Linked DNA regions of Bombyx mori. The protein of the gene in region 1 purifies or fractionates together with the protein of each later gene. This does not show direct contact. Links are inferred from orthologs where the notes say so. Each region holds a gene or a part of one and is shown on either strand. Other genes may lie near its edges.

The links.
Region 2: the proteins of small GTP binding protein RAB5 (region 1) and rabenosyn-5 purify together in Drosophila melanogaster (affinity purification with western blotting; 3 studies listed by BioGRID, with this or other methods). This does not show direct contact. The link is inferred for Bombyx mori from reciprocal best matches to the Drosophila melanogaster genes Rab5 and Rbsn-5.

The regions. Positions count from the first base shown.
Region 1 is NC_085110.1:1,320,755-1,332,272, forward strand, and holds the start of small GTP binding protein RAB5, read right to left. Parts: upstream 5,512-11,518; 5' UTR 5,333-5,511; exon of another isoform or gene 5,058-5,332; intron 5,019-5,057; exon of another isoform or gene 4,741-5,018; intron 844-4,740; 5' UTR 841-843; coding exon 593-840; intron 1-592. Other genes in the region: rRNA-processing protein UTP23 homolog, read left to right, coding at 7,259-7,378, 8,375-9,019; uncharacterized protein LOC119628424, read right to left, coding at 9,144-9,299, 10,759-11,000.
Region 2 is NC_085116.1:3,148,647-3,160,323, reverse strand, and holds rabenosyn-5, read right to left. Parts: upstream 6,502-11,677; 5' UTR 6,334-6,501; coding exon 5,917-6,333; intron 5,797-5,916; coding exon 5,649-5,796; intron 5,416-5,648; coding exon 5,195-5,415; intron 4,726-5,194; coding exon 4,531-4,725; intron 4,049-4,530; coding exon 3,770-4,048; intron 2,969-3,769; coding exon 2,894-2,968; 3' UTR 2,733-2,893; downstream 1-2,732. Other genes in the region: dynein axonemal intermediate chain 4, read left to right, coding at 1-1,513; tetratricopeptide repeat protein 27, read right to left, coding at 8,548-8,814, 9,408-9,555, 9,766-9,941, 11,573-11,677.

The DNA.
Region 1 (11,518 bases):
CTTAGCATGAGCAGTGCCTCGCAGAATCTACCACCGGATCTGAATCGCGACCCACTGAGAAGATCCGACGAGGAACTCAGTGGGCTGTGTCTATGGGTTAATTCGCTCGTCGAACTCTTTGTCGTAATCGAAACGATCGACGAGGACGGTGACCGGTGCTTGAGGAGTCTAAAAGCATCGAAAGTGGATCTGCGAGAACCGACAAGACATCGGCGGTTTCGGGCAATGACGACTTTGCGTTTTCCCAACGCCTGGATCGGATAAGAAATTAGCAGTTGTTAGACCGATAAGAGGATTACCCGTGCAGCAACGTAATTTAGACTTTGACTCCGTATCTCAGGATGGAATTTGCATCGTCGAATTAATTTTATACAACGCGGTTTTCAATTGTTTTCAATTTTTATTCGACTGACTCAGAGTAAAGGTTATTTTTTTTATAACGTGTTTTGCGTTGTGTGCTCACGCTCGGCAGCTTTTTAACAATATATTAGTGGGTAGACCATAACAATTTGAGTGGCGGTTGCGTAAGACCGGTGCCGAGATAAGTAGAAGTATGACGTCATTATTTTTAGCATGCTCTCTCTCAACTGACCTCTCCTGTCCAGCTGTATCCCAGATCTCGAATTTAACGGTGGTGTCGTCGAATCGAATGGCCTGGGTGAGGAACGCAGCCCCGATGGTGCTCTCCTGGTACTCGTGGAACTGTCCCTTGACGAATCGGAGCACCAGCGAGGACTTGCCTACCGCAGACTCGCCCAACAACACCAGCTTGAACTGGCAGACTTTTGTCTGTGGAGCGCCATTGGGCCTCTGTGCGGCTCCGGTCCTGTTTGTCGCCATATCCTGTAAGGAACCTCTATTTTATTATTATCCAATTATACGATCTGATAATTAACTGGTAGGACCTCTTGTGAGTCTGGTGGTAGGACCTCTCGTGAGTCCGCACGGGTAGGTATCACCACCCCTCCTATTTTCCGTCAAGCAGTAATGCATTTCGGTTTGAAGGGTGGGGCAGCCGTTGTAACTGAGACCTAAGAGCTTATATCTCAAGGTGGGTGACGCATTTACATTGTAGATGTCTATGGGCTCCAGTAACCACTTAACATCAGGTGGGCTGTGAGATCGTCCACCCTTCTAAGCAATAAAAAAATGCGAGGCCATCACCTTGTTTGTTGAAGCAACACAATAACCACTAACACTTGCAAGTCCAAACAAAAACGTGTACCTACGTGTAATTCACACGGTATAAAAGTGAAAATTTCCGAAGTACATATTTTATCTCATCGCCTACAATGAGAAGAGACAAACATATAGGTACATCTGTATATTAGATGTATATTGTTACTCATTTCAGTTCAAAGATTCATTTCCGAGTAGAAGTGAAAACTTATCTATATAGTATGCCATCAGCCCGCATTCTAAGTCCTATATATATGTCTCTTTTTAGTGTCGTTTTTTTTTTCATTTCATCTGGTTGCAAAACACAATGGTTCTAAAAATATTTTCATTGCAACAAAGTAAAATATAAACACCTCTCTGTTTAATACCTAGTATAATTAGTTGCGAACGTCACCTCTTGAGATATTACACCTTATCATATAGTGAAGAGTCCATTTTCAAGTATAAGCCTACATATTGAAAAAATCTAGGAAACTTCTCAATATATCAATTAGCATCGAATGTTCGTTGAGTTTGACAAACCGGCCCAAAATTTATTATTATATTACATACATGTTGAAAAAATAATTGATTTTTTAAACAATAAGCATACATATAATCAAGGAGTGAAAGACTATTTGGTATAAGCGACATTTCGCTTATTACGCGACATTTATCTTTGGTCTAATTAAAGGTCCGCCTTATTTAGTATTAGTATCAACAATTCGATGTTTTTAATTTAACTTCAATTACATAAGTTTACCCCATTAAAATAGCTGAAGAAGTGTTTTTTTATGAAGATATTTTTTTCAAAATTTAAAACTTTAATGTTTTTTCTGTAAAGTTGCAAAAATGTAGCTTAATCGAAATAACATTTCACCCCTAGATATAATATAATAACGCGTATTGTCGTCTATGACTCCGAAAATAATAAGGCGAACGAATTAATGAACTGGACTATATATATATAGCAAACAATTCCTAATTCAATTTTCTTATTACACTTCCTTATTGATATAAATGTTAAATATTTATAACTTGATAATATTTTAACTAAATAACTCATTAAAATCAAATTAACTTCAATATCTAATCAAAAAGATAAAAACAACACAAAAATTATACCAACCAGACAGCTGAATTAGAATTATTTTAGCTCAAATTACATAAGCCTATTATTTCAAGGTTAGAAGCCCCTGGTTACAGACAAACATGTTGATACACAGATAATGTGTCATAGAGGAATACCTTAGTGATTATATTAGAAATGTTTTCTTTTTGTAGCTGGTTTGACTAAACCGAACAATGCCCAGACTAAATTTTCACTGTGATAAAATTGATTGGCTTAAACTTTGTTAAATTTAATATTTTCCCATCCATTCTGTATTCTCCAAAATTATGTGTTCAATATATATGTACAGTATGTAATCTATACTAGTATATCTTGTGGTTTAGTTTCTTATTTTTTGTTATTAATCGATGTTGTATTATCAGCTCTCATTTAAATACCTTGAACATCTGGTATGTTCATTAACTTAAAAGTACCATGTTCAATATGCTCCACAGCATTGCGTACTCTGATGTAGTAACAACTTAGAGCAGTCCACCAGACAGCTAACTTAATTTAATACAAAAATCAGCTAATTTTTATTTTCAATACCAATAGCAACATTAAGCACGTTACCTAGTATTATGGTTAGTGGAACAAGTTTTTTTTACATTCAATTCATCGATAAAATGAAAACTAGACTTAGTGTTGTTGAATTTGTTAACATAGAGTTTTTTGCAATAAAATACAGACAATTCAGTTCATCTTCATGTTTATTTCAATTTAGGTTAATAGCTCTTTTTGGTATCATATCATTCACAATGATAAGAGAATTATAACACCTAAGTTTTAAGAATTTTTTTATAGATTAGAATCTCCGTTTTAGCATGTTTTTAATTTTTCTTTTTTTTTATTATTGTTTGAACGGCGAGTGAACGGTCTCCCATCTGACTTTAAGTTGTTACCTATACATGTGAATGCAGACAGCCATCTCAAGACTTGAGTATTTCATGATCCCTTTATTGTGAAAGTCAATTGTGAGCCTGAGTTAAGCACGTATTTTAATGGAATCTCTCAAAATTGGTACCTGCAAGCGACATTTGTACACCGGCATAATCACAACACTTGATATGAAGACATGGAGCTTTGTATTCACTAGGCCACAATGACATCGAATATTTTTGTGCATTTTTTTTTATCTGTATATGTGCATAATTATGACAGTAATACACATTAGGTGATAGAGCTTAAGACTCCGTCGAACTTAAATGATCTGTAATTGCTGATTTTTGCATTCAATAAATAATAAAAAAATGTGTTGAAAGATGAGTGCGTTTTAATTAAACAATAAAACGTAATAAAACTTATAGACCAGCAGCTTTTATTTATTTGTAGGCAGACAAGCATATGATCTACTTTATGGTAAGTAGTCACCATTAATCATGGACACAGCCAAGCAGATCTATCTACAAATCACAGTAAATGTAATAATTATGCACTCACACTGTCACTAATGTAACAATAAAAATATAATAGCTTAACATTAAATTTAAATTTTGCTATGGTGCACCAGTCTAGGTCCATAATTCCACAATCTATGCTACAAGGTGAAAATTACTGCATAATCAGTGTCTGGTCATTATATGTCTCTATGAGAGATAAAGAACAGTCAGTAAAGAGTAGCTACAAGTACTGGCTGGTGTCGTCATCCCTGTACACTTAGAAATGCAACATTGCACGTGTATATTTTACACTACAAATATATACAAATTCACACAAGACTTGAAAACTCAATGGTGCTTTTTCGGTTACAGAACCACCTACTCATGCTGATCATTAACCCATAATTTTAAATAAATAGGGTAGTTAAATCAAAAGAGCTTCTTAGACCATACACAAAATGTGATCACAGAAAAAATGTATTTATTGATGACAGATGAGTTATATTAAATATCTTAAACAAAGATAACTTATAGCACACAGGAAACAAATCTGAGTGATGTTGAGATCATTAAGCATTCTACTCGTAAGACCAATCTAACTGAATAAAATGTAACTTGTGATTATGGTAGCATAAATCGACAGCAAAGTCAGAAATTCCCCTGACCCTCATGACACAAAACAATGGACCACACACATCAGCTGGTTTTTTTATTGATTGTTAATATTGCAACATTGCACAAAAAAATCAGTTACTTTGCCTCCTTGGGAAACATCAACTCTACAAAATGTCTTTGTTTTTGAGAATACTTCCCTTACACTTTGTGCGTTGACTTTTCTTTGAACATAAATATAAATTTAGTAAATTAACTATTTTTCAGACTAATACTTGTAATGATTAATAGAAAATGATTTTCATTTTGAACAATGCAATTTTACATTTCTACTATCCATTCATATCTTTATCAATTTGCTAATATGACTGAGTTAATTGAATTACAGATAATGAAGGCCTCACTTTCTCTTTCTTAATAGACATAATAGTGATGATAGCCTAAGCATTAACAAAGAAAATAAAACAATTAAAAACTCACCAACTAACAAACCAACAAAAACACAATTCGAGACCATCAACAACTAATGAGCGAGAAAAAAGCATTCACTGATCATGAACAAGGAATTATTGTGCCATTGTATTTTTTTCTTCAATTCAATAAAACCTCTTTGCCACAATGACGGCGAAGTTGAAAATCGGATGAAAACGGTAAACAACGTTATCTCGAACATTTAATCGTCGCGAAATCACAAAGAAACAAAAGATCCTATACTGACACTTATCAGTAAGGCGCTCGGCACATTTCACGTATTACAAAAAAATGTGTACATTTTAATATTTTTATCGGATACGAACCCCGTAACGTGTCTGTTGTTATGACTAACCACTAACTGTCTCTGTTCGTATCGCAGTGTTTCCTATTAACAGTTAACAAAATTATTAAATCAACGCCCTCCTAAAATCAGCTGAACGTCACGAAATCACTCTAATGGGATCATCACCGAGACAATGCAATTATTACCGACTTTACCACCACACAATTACCCGAAGACTTTAAGTTTCGTGCACACTTTCAACAATATTCGATAAAATGACGCATTTACTTGATTAAAAGGATGTGAAAGACGTACCCTCCCTGTTATTGTAGCTCCGTTCTGAACTTTTTCTTGGGCGACAGATCTTCACGAAGTCGCCGTGACACCGAAATTATCATTAATTACACACTTAAACAAATATAATCATTAATCGTAAATGTAAAACTGGAAAATCTAGAACAGAAATCCAAAATGACCACGAACAAACATGGAAGCGAGAGAGCGAGCAAGATGTTTCACAAGAAATTGTCTATGGCACACTATGACATTCAATCAATGTCACTTTTTCATACTTTTATAAAGGAAACAAGACATTTGCAGCCCATTATCTAATGAGATTTTCTTATTTTCTCTGAAAATTTAAACACAATTTCGAAGGCAAGGAGTGAAGTTGTGTGATTTGTTTTATTTTGTCTATTTAGTGTTTCTTCAAGTTTAAATGTGTAATAACGGTGGTTTGTTAACTGTTTAATATGTGTGAAAGTTCACAAATGTGGGAAAATAAAACAAAGCCACTGGACGTAACCTCTCGGGATCCTACAAGAAGTCCACTGAAAAAGTCTGTCTCAGTCATCTCATCTCATTTTAGCTAATCTTTTCATCTCGGTTGATTAATTTCTCAAATTAATCATTTTCATTTCATTTCACTCCATATTATCATTTTTCATAAAAATAAGAATATAAATTAAAATACGACTTGACCTAAAGGTCTTAGTCACCAGGTCATAAAACCCTTTAAAAAAAACTTGCGTAGGTAGGTACGGCCAGAGATTAAACACTATTTATTTGAGAGGTACGGCGGCCAGCGTGACCAGATTTAGTAGATTTCTACTTTTTTGGTAGATTTTGAGGCACTAGCAACAGAATTTAGTAGTTATTCCAAAACTTTTTTGGCATAACAGATAAATTCGGGGTATTCGCCCTTTCATTGAATGAATTGTAACTATTTAATTTTCATTCTTTAAGCATAGTGTGATAGACCAGTGGGAATTCCTTCATTGAGAATTTTTATAATGGAGCTTAAAATTAAATATAAATATACACAAGGATATCGCGATGTCCCATTCGTCACGATATACTTGTAGTTGCAACAGAAAACATGCAAATTATGACAAAGAATATAGGGTATCAAAATTAGATGTTTCTGTGTCTAATTTATTGTCAACTTCTAGTTCGACGTGTCAAACTTTTATGGTGGATAGGTTTTGGGGTGAAGTCGGCCAAATCTGTGATGCAAATAGCAAACCAATGTATGGCAATTTGTCCCGATTTGTGAAGCAAATGATGATACTACCTTTGTCCAACGTCAAAGTAGAAAGAATAATTTCTGATATTAATAGGATTAAAAATCAAGATCGAAATCGATTTAATACGAAGGATGTTGCTGCAATCATGCATGGAAAAGAGGGGTTACGACAGTTGATGTCACACATTTGATCCTAACAAAAGTATTATCAAGTTAATGGGCTCAAAACAACTTTAAGAAAATGTTACCTAACATAAAGATGAAGAATTTTAAGTTTAAGTTTAAATTTCTTTTTTTTTCGAATTTAATTTAAAAAAATTATCATGGATCTATTTAATTAATTGTGGTTTCTTTTTATTATTTTATTATTTAATCAAGGAAACATTCATGTTTTCACATTGTAACACGACAGTAAAATAAAAGTTCCATTATACTTTTTTTATTATTTCTGGTTCACTTTTGGTAGAATTCAGTAGATTTTAACCTCCACAAGCAATAGATTCGTCAAATAAAATCTGGTTACACTGACGGCGGCACAATCACAGCTTAACATAAAAAATAAATAAAGTAATTTATGTACAATAAAACAACACAATTGTCAAAGTGAATGCATTAAATATATTTACATTACAAGATCATAACTTAATCATAGATTGAACACTAAAGTAAACACCTAAAAAAAAGACAATTCACGAAAGCGAGGTTCGTAATAAAAAATGAAAATAACACGTTACAAAAAAGTACAGAAATATCTAAAGTTTTATTACAACAATTATGGATTTCATCAGCCGTACCAAGTCCTTATCGATGGTACATTTTGTTTCGCTGCATTCAAAGTAAGTCTTCTCGATTAATTTGTCTACCGATAATTGTATATTTGATAACCCTTTAGGCTATTGAAATTCGTAAAAGAGAAGACTTGTTTTGATTACTGCTCCGAAAATGCTCACGATTTCTCCTAATTATTATTTAATATTGCATAAATGTTATACAGTATGGACAGTAAGTGTCGCCGTAACGGTCGCCTAATAGACATAGTTGATGAGGACTGGCGTGCGGAACAACTTCCTCACGAGGACATTCAAGTTCCGCTGGATGAGCTCCCGGACCCCGAGGCAGACAGCGCCGACTCTCATCTCACTCTAAAAGAGCAGAGCATGCGTTGGCAGGAGAATTTCCCTGAACCAGCGAGCAGTAATCAAAACTAGGTAAAATACCTCAAATAAAATGACATTTGTAGCAATTGAATAATTTGCTATAGCTGGGTAATACTTGTATTTGTCTATGAATGACATAAGTTCGAATAATATGGTGGAATGAAAATAAAAATGAAATAAATTTGTAATTGAGCAGGCATACTCAGTAGATATTTTACCTGTTTCTGCCTCATTTCTCAGTTTTATTTATAAATTTTTTATTGCTTAGATGGGTGGAAGAGCTCACAGCCCACCTGGTGTTAAGCGGTTACTGGAGCCCATAAGACATCTACAATGCAGATGCGCCACCCACCTCGAGATATAAGTTCTAAGATCTCAGTATAGTTATAATGGCTGTCCTACCCTTCAGATCGAAATGCATTACTGCTTCACGGCAGAAATAGGCAGGGCGGTGGTACCTACCCGCGCAGACTCACAAGAGGTCCTACCACTGGTAAAAGTCAGTGTGGGTGCTGTACATATTGCTGTGTTTAAAGTTTTGTTACCAATTAACTAAAGTTGCCTCTCAAGCACCTACCCTACCCATCAATAAAAATTGCATAAAAAAGCACTTTTAAACATTTTCCAAAGGGGTATGATTAAGCCTATTAAACTATTTTCAATTATTCATTTCAGGAGCATATTAACATCAGAGAGCAAATTCCCAAGTACCTAAACAGCCAGGCTAAACTACTGACAACGAGATGTATAATTATAGAAACAGAAAAATTAGCAAAGAAAACACATGGAGCTCTCACAATATTAAAACAGTTTGGTATTCATGAATGTGGGCACAAAGAACCGGTGGCTGGATCTAAGTGCATAATGTCCATGATTGGTAAGAAGAATGAAAAGCATTATATCTTAGCTACCCAGGATCGAGATCTGCAATCCAAATTAAGGGAAAAACCTGGAGTTCCTCTGCTATATCTACATAACAAGTCACCAACATTAGAGAAACCAAGTAGTGTGAGCTTTGACAAAGCAGGTCAAGCTCTGGAAACCAATGAACATATTTTTATCACTGAGAATCAGAGTGAAACTTTGAAGCAGATGAAAAAGAAATTAGGTGTTGAAGAAAAGGTTGAAGAACTGAATGTCCCTATTAGGAAGAAAAAGCCCCATAACCCTAATCCTTTGTCTTGTAAGAAAAAGAAAAATAAACCAAGCAGACAAGGAACAAAAAAAGAAAATGTGACTGAAGGAAAAGTCCGGAAAAGGAAGAAAAATAAGTTTCCGAAGCATTTAAAAAATGAACTTAAAAGTGTTATTAGTCAGTAATGTATTATTTAAGAACTAAAATTATTCTTTATTTCTTTGATTTGATATTTGCTGATTTAAATAAAAGAGCTTTAATAAATCAGAATCTACCAAGAGAACTGAAGTTTTTAATTTTCAAACAAACTTATTTCCGTTTGAAAGGCCACAAAAACTTGAGTCTTCGAACACCAAAAGTAAGAACATGTATCAGTGGTAGATTCTTAATGTACATGGTGTGGAAGTGTGACAGTATGTCGTAGCATTCGTCTGGCTCAAATATTGCTTCTCCATCTGGTGAATCCTGGAAATTCAGTAAAATAATAAGATCAAATTTTTTTTTTGTTAACTCCTGGCTCCGACGTCTTAGATTATATAGATAGAACGCCATTGATTTGCCAAAGACGTTTAGTGTTGACGCCTACCGGAACTGATTAATACTAAAAGATCTATATCTTCAATTGTCCTCGCCCGAAAATTTTCAAGTTCAGAATAAAATCACACTACCTTGCTTGTGCAATATGGCTCCTACGATATAACTGTATAAGTTGCTACTTATTTTGTATTTACTTGCATATTTTTAGTATTTAATGTCTATTTAAGTCTATCTTATATTGTATTAATTTTTCATGTGTGTATATAAATATATATTTTTTATGTAAGTTTATTAAGATATAGCACCATCTGTGCTAATTTGCTTAGGTATTCCTCTCCCTGCAAGGTTTCCTAGAAGAGATCGCTTTCAGCGATAAGGCCCCCAATTATTGTCACCGTCTATTATTTGTGTTATATGCTTATTCTGTACATGTGGTGTCAAATAAAGAGTTATATTATTATTATTCGTGGCGGAAATAGGCAGGATATTGTACCAGCCACGGTGGGCTTATCACCGCCAACCCTTTCGGAATGGATGAACGCATCCACACCAGTCATGGCCCAGTGACTTGTCCGGCGGGTACGAGTTCGCCTTGCACAACCGCTTTAGTTAAGTTCTCTCTCATCCGAGGTTTGGACGCGAGTTGTTAAGACACTGGTTAGTCGGTTCATCTTCAACACGTGTTTACAATACGTATACGGAAGTACTGTGATTTCTTGGTTCACTTCGATAAAGCGGCACGACACGAGCACCCTCTCGTCGTGGCCGCCGGTAACTACATTTCCGATCCTGCGGAAAGAATGGAAAGCAGTCGACGTCGCCCCAAACACGTCATCTCGGATCCTCCCGATCCACTAACGGTGCTTCTAGGTACTTCAAGCACCGGTCACCGTGCTCGTCGAACCCGTCGCTTGCGACGAAGGGCTCGACGAGTAAATTAACTCTCAGACACAGCCCACTGAGTTTCTCACCGGATCTTCTCAGTGGGTCGCGTTTCCGATCCAGTGGTAGATTCTGCGAAGCATGACTCTTGCTAGGGTTCGTGTTAGCATCATCGTCAGGTTTGAGCCCCGTGAGCTCACCTACTAGTTAAGGTTCCGCTGGAATAGCCTCCCTAGGCTGCCAGCTTAGGTAGGAAAAAAAAGTTATTTCTTTGAGATAAAAAAAGAGATCGTTTATTATAAGAGAAACGGTAGACACAAGACTGAGTTGGTCGTAGGCTACTAGATCTACTAGAATTAAAGAAAACCTTAAGAACTTATTGTGATAGAGGTGATACTTTGTAAGTGGCGTATTTAATGGGCACCAGAAATCACTTCTGTCATCATCGCGCTCAAGAAAATATGACTTCGAAAAGAAAGTGTTTGAAAATAAATTTGTTCATCACCTCAATTGTAAGCCGTATCATAAGTTCTTTGAAATACATCCAAACAGAGACTGGGGCTTGCCAATAATACCACTTGAAGTAACTATGAACAGTGACGTAGGTTGTAAGTAAACAAGCTAGCTTAAACGCCGAGAAGTCGCGCTGGGCTGCATAGTCTATCGTCTCGCACAGCAGATTCGTGACAAATTTTCTTTCTGACAAATTATAATTGACCACGATTTGCTTTTCGACTAAAAGTTTACCTGTAATACAGATAATAATGAAATGACACACATATGAGTCTAATTCAATGTACCTATATTCTGTAGATTGGCAGATGAGCCCACTTGATGTTAAATGGATGCCTCAATGCAACGTGTGGTTGTTATTTATTTTCCTACCTAATCGTTGGTAGCCTAAGGGGCTATTCCAAGTTCGCGCGGACCGGTAGGTGAGCTCACGGACTCAACCTGAGAGAATTGCTAACACTAACCCTAGCAAGAGCATTGCTTCGTCGATTCTATTATCGGATCGGAAACGCGACCCACTGAGAAGATCCCGCGAGAAACTCAGTGGGTTGTTTGTATTGTAAAGCCCTATAAAATTGTCCCAACCTTCGAAATGGATCGCTCAACTGCTTCCAATATTTGGTATATTTATAACCAGTAATTAATTGTTATCTCGGTGAATTTGCGATATTATACGGTAATGGTCGATGTGGGTCAAGCCGAGGCCTTTTGAAAAAAAAACTGAATTACCTACTTCAAATCACGGTCATCAT
Region 2 (11,677 bases), on another chromosome or scaffold:
ACCCCAAAGGAAAAATGCTATAGCATTCGCATCTTTATGGGACATGCACGATACCTACGCTAAGCTTGCAAACGTGAAAAAAGTAGAAGAACCTGATGAAATGGTGCTCTATCAATCAGCAGCACCCAATTTACTCAGAAAGAAGAAACTAAATGTTTTTGACGCTTCCTTGAAAAAAGGAAAATGTTTTGAAGAACTAGCGTCGACACCAGAATTCCTAGATGCGGTTTTATTGGCTGAACGTGTATTATCGACACTAGAATATTCTGAAGCTCAGAAGAAATACCGTGGCTTGGTTCGTATAGATCCACTCTCGTTAGATTTAGTGTATATTTACACAATGAAACCTTTATGGACTTTTGAATGTGAAGATACCATAAACCGCCCCATAACTGGAATCTCATTTAATCCGAAGAATGAGAATATATTAGCAGTCGCTCACGGGAAGTTCCGGTATGCTGAATGCTATAACGGCTTGGTCTGTATTTGGTGTACAAAAAATCCACTAAAACCCGAAAGAGTTTACCAATTCGAAGATCCATTAACATCATTGGCATTTGCCGAAAAAAACCCTAACTGGCTAGCTTGCGGTTTTGCTAACGGTGACGTATTGATTTTGGACATCACTTCATACACCACAAAAAGCATAGCGAAAAGTAAACGCGACACAAATCCCTGTTTTGAACCAATCTGGGTGACAAGTTGGCGATCAATTGATAAGGATAATGAATTCGTTATGACTTCATGTCAAGACGGAAGGATCAACAAATTTACTAACACTAAGACCCACGATTTTATATGTTCACCCATGATGAGAATATCAACCGTCGAAGGTAAGATGAAAGGGCTGGAAGCAACGAAAGCATGTTTGAAAGTAGACGTTCCTATAACGCGCTACCCAGCAGCGTTATGCATAAAATGGCACCCGAACGTTGAGCACGTGTATCTAGTTGGTACTGATGAAGGATGTATTCACAAATGTTCTACTCATTATCTGAATCAACACATCGAGGTCTTCAAAGCACATGCAGGTCCTGTTTACGGCATGGAGTACTCCCCTTTTATGAGTTCGTTGTTGGTGTCTTGCGGCGCAGACGGTGCTATAAGATTGTGGATAGAAGGCATGGATGACGTCATTATGACCTTAACATGTCCCGCTGCAGTATACGGTATCGCATTCTGTCCAATCAACTCCACGGTGATTTTATCAGTAAGCGGAAATATACTTTCCATTTGGGATCTGCGAAGGAAAACTCATATGCCGTGTGCGGAATACTCTTTTCCTAATAACGTTGTTCTGACGTACATTAAATTTGCCGCTTCGGGAGATAATGTCTTCGTTGGTGAGACGTCTGGACGCATTCACACATTCCATTTGGAAGACACTCCGATACCACCGTTTTACCAAAGAAAGATGTTAGACGAGGCGATCAAAAAAGCACTTTGCACGAGACCACAGCTCTTGAAGCAACTCGAAAAATTGGAAAAATTTAGAGAGAAGTATGCGAAATAATTAACGAAATCAATTTGAATAAAATTTGTACATGTGATATTTATAAGTAGCAATCATGAAGCTATTAAAATTATTTTATTACTAGCTGTTACCGTCCGCTTCGCTGGGCATTTAAAATTAACATTATTATTTCTCACCCCCACAAAGACTCTCATCATTAACGCCCCCGCAACTGGTGTAGGGAGTCCAACACTCATATAAATATTAGCCTATCCATTAACTACATGTATTTTCTACATGAATACCAAGTTTCAATTCAATCGGATGCTTGGTTCAGTAGTTATAACGGAACATCCGTAAAAAGCAGTGTAGATTTATATATTAGTATAGGTTTTTTTTAAATCTAAAGCTCATTCTTGTTTATACCACAATTAAACTACAAGAGAATATACCTATCTATCAAAATCACCAACTTAGCTTACACTGCTTGACATCACTTTAATATATTAGTTACTGCGCTGACCTCATCGGTTTTGCCACAACCTTATACACCGTCTGTAACCAACGTTCACAAGTTCATGTTCAATTCTATGGTTGTAATAATAATTATACCCAAATCACATTTTCATTTTTTGCGTTTGTGAATCTGTTCACGAATGAGTGCCGATTTTAATGAATCTATTGATTTTTAAATTGTTATTAATAGATAAATATACTTGATTTGTAGTATCAAATATTGAAATTTGGTATATTTCAAATCTGGCAACAATGACTAGCCCATATTTTTCACAACCAAGTCGAACTGTGATTAAATACAATTATGGCACGTTCGCATCAAATAACAATTATGCTGTTTTGTTTCCAATTTATTTCGTCAAGTTTCTTCAATACAGTATAAAGTAATCATTAAAGAAAGTAGATAGCGCTTATATATGACCTAGGATCTTCTTATCGTGATCTTCTTATGAGCCACATTAAAAAGACTGCCAAACATGCTCTTATAGATTCTTATTTTTTTTATTTTTTTTTGCTTTGATGGGTGGACGAGCACACAGCCCACCTGGTGTTAAGTGGTAACTGGTCAAAATTAACAAATAATAAAAAAAAACATTGAAACATGAAGATTCTTAAAAATACGGAGACGCTTCGTGGGTTTCGCACATAGGCGTTGCCGGGGATCGGCGCGGCCATAACTACAGGTATAATTGGCAATGTACAGATAATATAATGTATCGCAGGTAAAAGGTCAATCTTATTCTATTCTAAATAAAAACAAGTCCTGTTTTAGAATCATAATTTTTTTATGCACAGTATAATATTTATAAATAGTGATCGAAGCCTAGAATTAAATAATAATGTTTTAAGGGCTAAATAAGTTATCATTAAACGCTATACAATATAAACGTAACAATATACTAGATATAGTTATATCTGGAATGACTAGGATCTGCTCGAGAGCTTCTGTAATTTGTATTCCTTCTTCAATTCCTTTAGGTTTGCTTCTAAAATCGCCACCTGTTAATAATTTACAATTACTTACTCCCTTTCGACAGTAAAAGAATCTTTATAAGTGTAATGTGACCATGATAAGTTAAAATAAACAAAATCAAATTAGAAGGAAGAAAATTAAGATTCTAATATTATATATATACCTATATATTTTTTAATGACAACTAATGTATGCGGTACCCTCATAAAATACTCTTATTATTAAAAGATGTACGTAATTTGTCCTGATTTGACGCTCTTTTATTAGGTTTATTTTTTTTTATCCTACTTATGCTAAGGTCGAAGGTTCGGCGATGACGGTGATCGGACACTTTACTTGTATATGTCTGTGTAACGGAATCTTTCAATGTGAATTTCAAAAACTTCAAGACGTCTAAATAAATTTAACATTTTGCACGATGTATCATCATCGATCCTTGACATAATAACCTCATTACTTTAGCCTAATTTTCAGATCCGTTTAAACAGGACAAAACATCCACACAATGCATCCATTGATCCCCGCGAACCTCAATAGGTCATATAATACGGCCGTGTGGTGTCGGCCTCGAAAAAAAATAACACCTCCCTTTCTCCTCCCGTGGATGCCGTAAGATGCGACTAAGGGATTATCCAGAGAATGGGTAGCAGCGTTCTCAGAGTATCATAACAGCATACTTCGATCGCCAACCCGCATGCCCAGCGTGGTGATTATGGCAACCCCCCCCCCCAACATGGGCGACGCAAATACGAATCCAGTACCCCGCAGCTCCACTATTCCTGGCTACGTATATAAATAAATAGATTATAGTTATTTACAAGACCCACCTCTTCAAATCTCAGTTCCTGTCTCGCCTCTTTTATATACCCCCTGATGATATTCATCTGCTCTAGCAGCGGGTTGTCGTCGTCGTCGTCGTGCTGGGCGCCGGCGGGGGTCAGGGCGGGGGGTGGGGCGGCGCCGGGCGCACCCTCCCGCCGCTGCCGCTCGCGCTCCATACGTTCCCGCTCCATTTGTATTTGTTTCTCGGCACGCTCGTAGCGCTGACGACGCACCTCCTCGATCTGAGCTTCGGTCGGGAGCTTCCTTAAGGACAGTAAGTCTTCCTGAAATCAGAACGTTATTTGAAAATGAATGTCAAGGCAATAAACGTAGAAATATATTTTCTTCTTTTTTTCTCTCTTTATTATCTACAATCAGTATCCAGTACTTTTATTATTAGATGTGTTGAAATGTTTTTCGTAGTCAGTAAGAACATGACTCCAGCGAGCCATCTACTCTAAATTTCAGAAATCCAAATTTGACAAGATTTCAGTCCAAAATTAAGGAACAAAATAATTATTTTATGGTTTTAATTCGTGTTAGGTACATGGGAAGATTAAGAATATTACCAGGCTTTTGTTCTAAACATTTTTTATTACAGCCAAGCTGATGGTTATAGAAGTAAGCAATACAAAGTCGCTGTCTAAATCATGATTCCGACATGACTACATTAGAAATCTCTAAAAACTAGTTGAGGGTAAATATTTATTTAAAGTTAAAAATTTAAAGTTTCACTTTAAATAAATATTGAAGCATTTTTATTTACCTTAATATAATGTCCTGCAGCTTGCCTTATAGCATTCTGTAGCCTGGCTTGCCTTGTGCCAGGCTCTGCCGGGAAGCTGACTATCTGCTTACTCAGCAAGTCTATGCCTTCAGCCAACTTCCCTATACGACCTCGCATTGCATTCACATCAGACATATTGTAGGTTGTTTCACCATCAAAGAGACTTTGGCACATCTGTAATGTATGTAGAAACTGTTCTTAAGCTGTTGTTTTATTATTTTATTTAGTGAATTATGAACCTAAGCACATGCAATGATCTCCGAGTGTTGGCCGGAAGAGGTGGATGAGGAGAGCCAAACACGGGGCTCAGTGGTATGGATAGGGAGATGTCCGACAGTGGATGACAATAGTCGCTGATGATGAATGAATGAATGAATGAACCTAAGCAAACTAAACGGGTAACATGTCAGTTCATTGTGTATCTATTTTAAGCCATCCGCACTTAGTAATACCCAAACTAATACATTACACAAGTAAAAACAATAATATTTGAATATAACAGTACCGTTTGAAAATAATAAATTTTTTACAAAATTGGTAAGAAGAAATTTAATGTACTTAATATGTAGTTACTGTTTTTTCTTTTTTTTTTATATTTTCTATTGACACTACAAGACAAGTAGTCACAAATTCTTATAAATACCTTTTCATACATAGCAACAGCTGGTTTGGCTTGCTCCATAAGACTCCTCATCTCTTCATAGGCCGTTACGAGTTCAGTCTTTGTGTTTCTTGTTTCTTGCACTTGTTTCCGCAGTTTGATCAAATTGTAACAATGTTCACAGAGACGTAATCCATTCTTCTCTGTTAGCTTTAGTTCCGGATTTGATACTGGTTTTGGAGCTGATGGATTTATAATAGTTTCTGAAATGTAAAATCATACACTCATTACAGGCAAGATAATCGGAGTTGTAATTCTACACTGCAATAATACAAGATACTAAACTAAAATATATATTATTTTGTTTTCCCTGTTCAATCAAGAGTTAGGTGCCTTTTTAGAATACTGGAGAGTTGCATAAGGTCATTGCTTTTGGTTAATTACTATATTAATAACATAATTGAAGAATATTTAAAATAATATATGTGTAACTTACTAGCTACTTCAATATCTAGAAAAACAGAGCAGTCATGACATAGTATGGAGCCACATAGTCGACAATGATGTTGCCTGCGTGTCAAGTGAAAGGGTTTCGCACAGTTGGGACACAGATTAACTGATGAACCATCTAACCATGGCACAGCCTGGAAAAATACATATACAATAAAATGAGAAATTATTTTAACATTCCAATGGCATTTATATTATTTTAGTTAGTTAAATGTTACCAGGTTAACTATTAAACATAATTATTTAATACATACATCTTGCTCATGAATTTTTCTTTGATGAGGGTCACTTGGCATGTTACAAATGAGTTTATCCAACCGAATCAACAGCTTATTAGTCTCCGTAGCGTATCTTTCAAGCCTGGAAAACCTCACACCCTTAAAGTAATCGGTTGAACTACGTGATACTCCGATCACCTGCTCTTCATCATAATAATCTTGGTAATTAAACTTCAAAGCACGCGCGAATGTCTCTTTCAAATCAGCATTGTCATTATTCAGTATTATTGTCTTTGCTTTACCAAAAATGTCTTTTAATGATTTCAAAACATCTTGATCTTCTTGATGAAGACTTTCGAAATGATTTGTTAGTTGTGAGGCGGATTTGAGATCTGCTTTACATATGGGACACAAGAAGCCCTCAAGAATTTCATCGTCGTTGGCCGTTGCCATTATTAATATCACTTCTCACCAATTTAGCATTATAAATTAACTGCAATTATTAATCATCACCAAGGTGAACACTAGACATTAATCACACAGTAATTGTGATTACTGTCAAGAGGAAGTAAGTGTCAAACGTCAGCTGAGCCATACATGTGCGTTTCATTAATTCAACACCACACTGTGTTTTTTTTTATAGGCTTTATTCGTATATATTAAGTGTATAATCTATGGGCTTTATTAAATACACTCCAACAAATAAAAAAATGTCAGTGATCAGAAAAAATCGTAGAGGGGAGTCACTCGGAAGCCATGTTCGTCGCTTCTAGCTTTAACGCTAATAGTTTACCCTAGAGTTGAAATTCGGTGTTGAGGTTGCGAAACAGCTGCTCTCGAGCTATTAGGTTTCCTTCGGGGGCTATCGGTCAGTTATTAGTATATCCCACCGTTCCTGGCTGCCCGTGTACGCCCATCCGTTCTGAAGCCTTCGGGATACAAGCAATCCGTCCATCTACCCACCTCCAAAAATTAAGTAGATCCACAAAGGAACTCTGGTTAGCTGCGGGCTATGAGGAAAAATGATGACGAAGAGTTTATTAGAACATTCCTCAGTGACCATGCGGTATAAAACACAAGGGCCTGACCTGAGCGGCCCTTCCTGTACGGAGTCAAGGGGCCAGAGAATCAGGAATCCGGTCACCGTCCTAGTCGAAACCGTGGAAGGGCTCGACGAGTGAATTAACGTCATAGACAGAGCCCACTGAGTTTCTCGCCGGATCACGTTTCCGATCCGATGGTAGATTCCGCGAAGCGCTGCTCTTGCTAGGACCAGTGTTAGCAACACTCCCGGTTTGAGCCCCGTGAGCTCATCTACACGTCAAGGAGAAGTTGAAATAGCCTCTCAGGGCTATCAGCATAGTTAGGACAAAAAAAAAAGAATCAGAGAAGGCAGCAGTACTCACTGAATGCCGACTCTATACTCTGTAGAGCACAAGACACTAAAGACGTACAGTACCGTTTCGCTCTCTTGAGAACTTTGACAAATTTTAGAGGTTTTTAATGTAAGCACTTTAGATGTATTAATGTTCTATTCACGTCTATATAAAAATACTGTAAATCCATCGAATTTGAACTGATTAGATGAACGAATCAATCATTGCAGCTTTATCTTTATTTTTGCCGCTGCCACTATAAACACGTTTAATTTTTTGTATTTTTTTTTGGAATTTGGAAAATTAGGCCTGGGCAACGATGAATGAACAAGTGGTAGAGTTAACATTGTTATTCATATTTTGACATTCAACAAGTGTGTTATACTGACAACTGTTATACAACGGCCGTCTGGTGTAGTGGTAAGTGACATGGTCACTACACAAGGGGGTCGCGGGTTCGAAACCTGCCACGGGAGGATATTTGTATGATAAATATAAAATTTCTTTTCCAGGGTTATGGATGTTTATTAAATATATGTATGTGTATAATAAAAATCTTAAATTTATTTCCGTTATCTGGTACCTGTAATACAAGTTCTTTACGAACTTAGCACGGGACCAGTTAACGTGGCGTGATTGTTAGTAAATATTTATTTATTTATTTTATTACTGATATCTAAGTTGAAATAAATTACTTTTAATTTTGAATTGAATTTGAGTTAATTGGGTGCGAACACTTGTACGTCTAGGGATTCACAGGGTGTGTTAGAACCAGGTGTTAGCATGCGATCAAAAAAATGTACTTTATGTAATTAAAATTGAGTTAGACGCGTGTTTCAGTCAAGGGAACGGACGGTGGGGGTATGTCCGTCAGCTAGCTTAGTGTTACGTTACGTATTTACGTTCAATAAATGAACATTTGTTTATGTTAAGTTTGTCGCTTATTGCGTATTCGGGAACTTTCTTTTTTTTTTCCTACCTAAGCTGGTATCCTTGAGAGGCTATTCCAGCGTAACCGTAACTAGTAGGTGAGCTCACGGGGCTCAAACCTGACGACGTTGCTAACACGAACCCTAGCAAGAGCCGTGCTTCGCAGAATCTACCACCGGATCGGAAACGCGACCCACTGAGAAGATCCGGCGAGAAACTCAGTGGGCTGTGTCTGAGAGTTAATTTACTCGTCGAGCCCTTCGTCGCAAGCGACGGGTTCGACGAGAACGGTGACCAGTGCTTGAAGTACCTAGAAGCACCGTCAGTGGATCGGGGGGACGGGAACAACAGAAACTACAGTTCACATAACAGATTTTATATATTCAGTGACAACATTGAAGGTTTCTCTCAGCTCCGCGAGCGTGTCTTGTGTTTCTGGCCAGTTATGTTTCTCGGCAGCCCTGAGCACCGCTTGCCCCGTCAGCCGAGCCGACGACAGTTGCTGGTCAGCTTGGAGCCGGTCCTTGTCCTCGCATTCCTGTCTCGCCTTTAGACTCGTTTCGAGGACAGATAACGCTAGGTCGATAACCTTTTTACAAGCCTCTGGGTCGTTGGGCCAGTTGCCGTTCTAGTCAACAATCATTAAAAAGAAATATTACTATTACAAAATTGCAACAGAACTGTATATCTCTCTGTATATATAACTATATATAAACATTGAAATTTTGTTTATGTATATTCGCTAAGGTCTTAAACTCGAAATAGTAATTTAAATATGTATCTCTTGGATCGATAATGGCGTAAAAACAACATGACTAAATGTAATAAAATTTTATTATCAAAATTAAAAATGTTATCTTTAAAAACTGGTGTCTACATACAAACTAGACACGCCAGCGGTTTCATCCGCTATAAATTATCTAATGTAGAAGAATTAAATACGCTACATTTTCTAGAGATAAAGAGTTTAATTTATTTTACTCTGATTTGTAAAGTACCATAGCAACGACTGTCATTACGGTCGTCGTCTTCATGGTCTAAAGGATAAGACGCCCGGTTATTTGGATCGAACGACACAACTGTGCCGGTGTTCAATTCCGGCAGCCAGGTATATTTTTTTATAATTGAACAGGCATTTAAATTGTTTTCGCGACCGACTATCCCAATAAAGGAATATGACGTCGTATAATAATTTAAAATTTGTTTTTTTTTTATTATTACCTGTGTGTACGCCCGGTACGCTTTCATGAGTCTTTGTGCCTTCAACAAAAACGTGGGACTAATATCGGAATACAGTATCCATATGTCAGGTTTATTGTGGTGCACAGCAGTTATCCTCCCGAATAACTCTAGTACTCTTTTCCTTAACCTAAAAAAATAGCGTATTGTATGAACTAAAATCGATATTCTTCTAGCCCTTTTTGTTTTAAATTCGACCATCATTAATGAAAACGAGATCAACTAAGACAAATTTTGTAGATTCATTTTAAACAATTAAAACTATGACACTAGACTAATTTATTACAATAAAGGGGTTTGTCATGTCAATTTCCACGAATTTGGTAGAATTTAACCTCACCTGGCAGCACCATTTCCATCGGCGTCTTTGGTATCATTTAAAATGGCCCGAACCAACAATGTCAGTACTTCTACATCTTCAAATTTATTCTGTAAATCCAAAAGTCTGTGACAGCCGCGAATCACGTCCTCAAAGTGTAGAGTGTCCATACTCACAATAATTACATTATCCCACAGCTAAAAATGTCAACGAAATTCTTTAATAAAAATAAATTATTCAAAAATATTATGTATAAATAGATAATTTAAATAAACAAAATTAATAAGCTCCAAAAATAAAATGTCGATTTTTTTTGTCAGGAGGAAATCACCGGACTTCCGCCCTCCACTGGGGATGGAGGGCGGGGCATGTCGGAGTCGACCCGACTAAAACCTCCTGTCGCTCAACAACCAGCATCCAAACCTCGCATGAGACAGAACTCATGAAAAGGCAAAGGGGGGAAAGTGAAGCGTTTAGTGCGGAGCACATCTCTCCCATCACCCTCCCCCTCGGGACGCCGGACTGGCAGTCGTTGGCGCCACGACCACCAGTCCTCTCGGTCGGCAGGCTATCCGAAGCCCGCCTAGATGGCGCCGGTTAGAATGGTCTACCCTCGGAATACCCCGCTGGGTCAGAACCAGCGTGGGTTGAGGATAGCCGGCCTTCCATCACCCGGACGCTCTTGCATAAAACGCGTGCAGAGCACCTTGCACGTCGTCTTCTTAGGTCCCCTTCGCCGGTCCCTAGGCCGACATGTGAGAGAGACCCGAAACACTTAGAGGGCCAGGGCTTGGGCGAAATCCGCCTCCCTGGCCCCCGCTCGACGGCGGCGGGCCTGCGCGTCTCGCACGCGCCCCGCCGCCTCCTTCTGCGAGATGGTGCACTCGCAGAAGTCGAGCATCGCCTTCCACGACTCGTCGTCACCGAGCATTGATGCCACAACACCCGGCAACGACAAGTCGTTTCCTATTTTTGCGACGAGGACACGGCGCCACCCCTCCCATGCGGGGCAGGCGACGAGCGTGTGCTCCGCCGTTTCCAAGTCGCAACCACAATGGTGGCACTCTGCCGTCAGCTTGGCTCCGATCCGGTGCAGGAACTCACCGAAGCAACCATGCCCAGTGATCACCTGCGTGAGCCGGAAAGTGAGGCGTCCTCTGTCACGATTCACCCAATTCACAAGAACCGGGCGAATCGCCTCGACGGTCCTACGACCAGCCGAAGGATCGGCCAGCCGTCTGGACCATGAAGTCGTTTACATAGGCTTCATTTGAGCTCGAAGAGTAAAGTCCTGTCAAATGATTTATTTTACTGCTTCGCCACAGAACTGTCTTATAGATACTTACTACACTACCAATTTGTGATTTTAGTATTGTTTAATCTTAGATCTTACAGGAGATTTCGGGGGCGTTAAATCGATCTAGCAACGATTTATTTTTTAGAAAATGTTGTTTTATTCGTGATTTCAATAATCAACTTTATCGATAATCAACTTTATGACTCTTCCCGACATCTATTGACGAATAATAATACTATTTTTCTTAACTGAGAGCAGCGAACTGCTTTAAAAAAAAAAAAAAAAAAACAGTAAAGCTACTTCAGCAGATGGCGTTGTTAAGCAACCCGAAGCCAATGAGTGTTTGGTTTAAGGTTAGACCAAGAAAATGAATTGTTTATTTATATTATTTGTGTCTTTTTAACTCAAGTGTTCACTTAAAAATATCTAAACGATCTTGGAATATTTCATCATTTTGTCAATATGTAATTCGTATTTAAATTAATATTAAAAAAAGAAATTACGTTAGAAGCTCGTAAATAAATTTTCTACCTTCCAGTTGTCGTAATTGAATCTGAGAGCTTCCATGAGGGCTCTGTACGCTCGATACTTGTCTCCCTGTTTCACGTAGACTTTGGCGAGGTTGTTCCAAGCCTC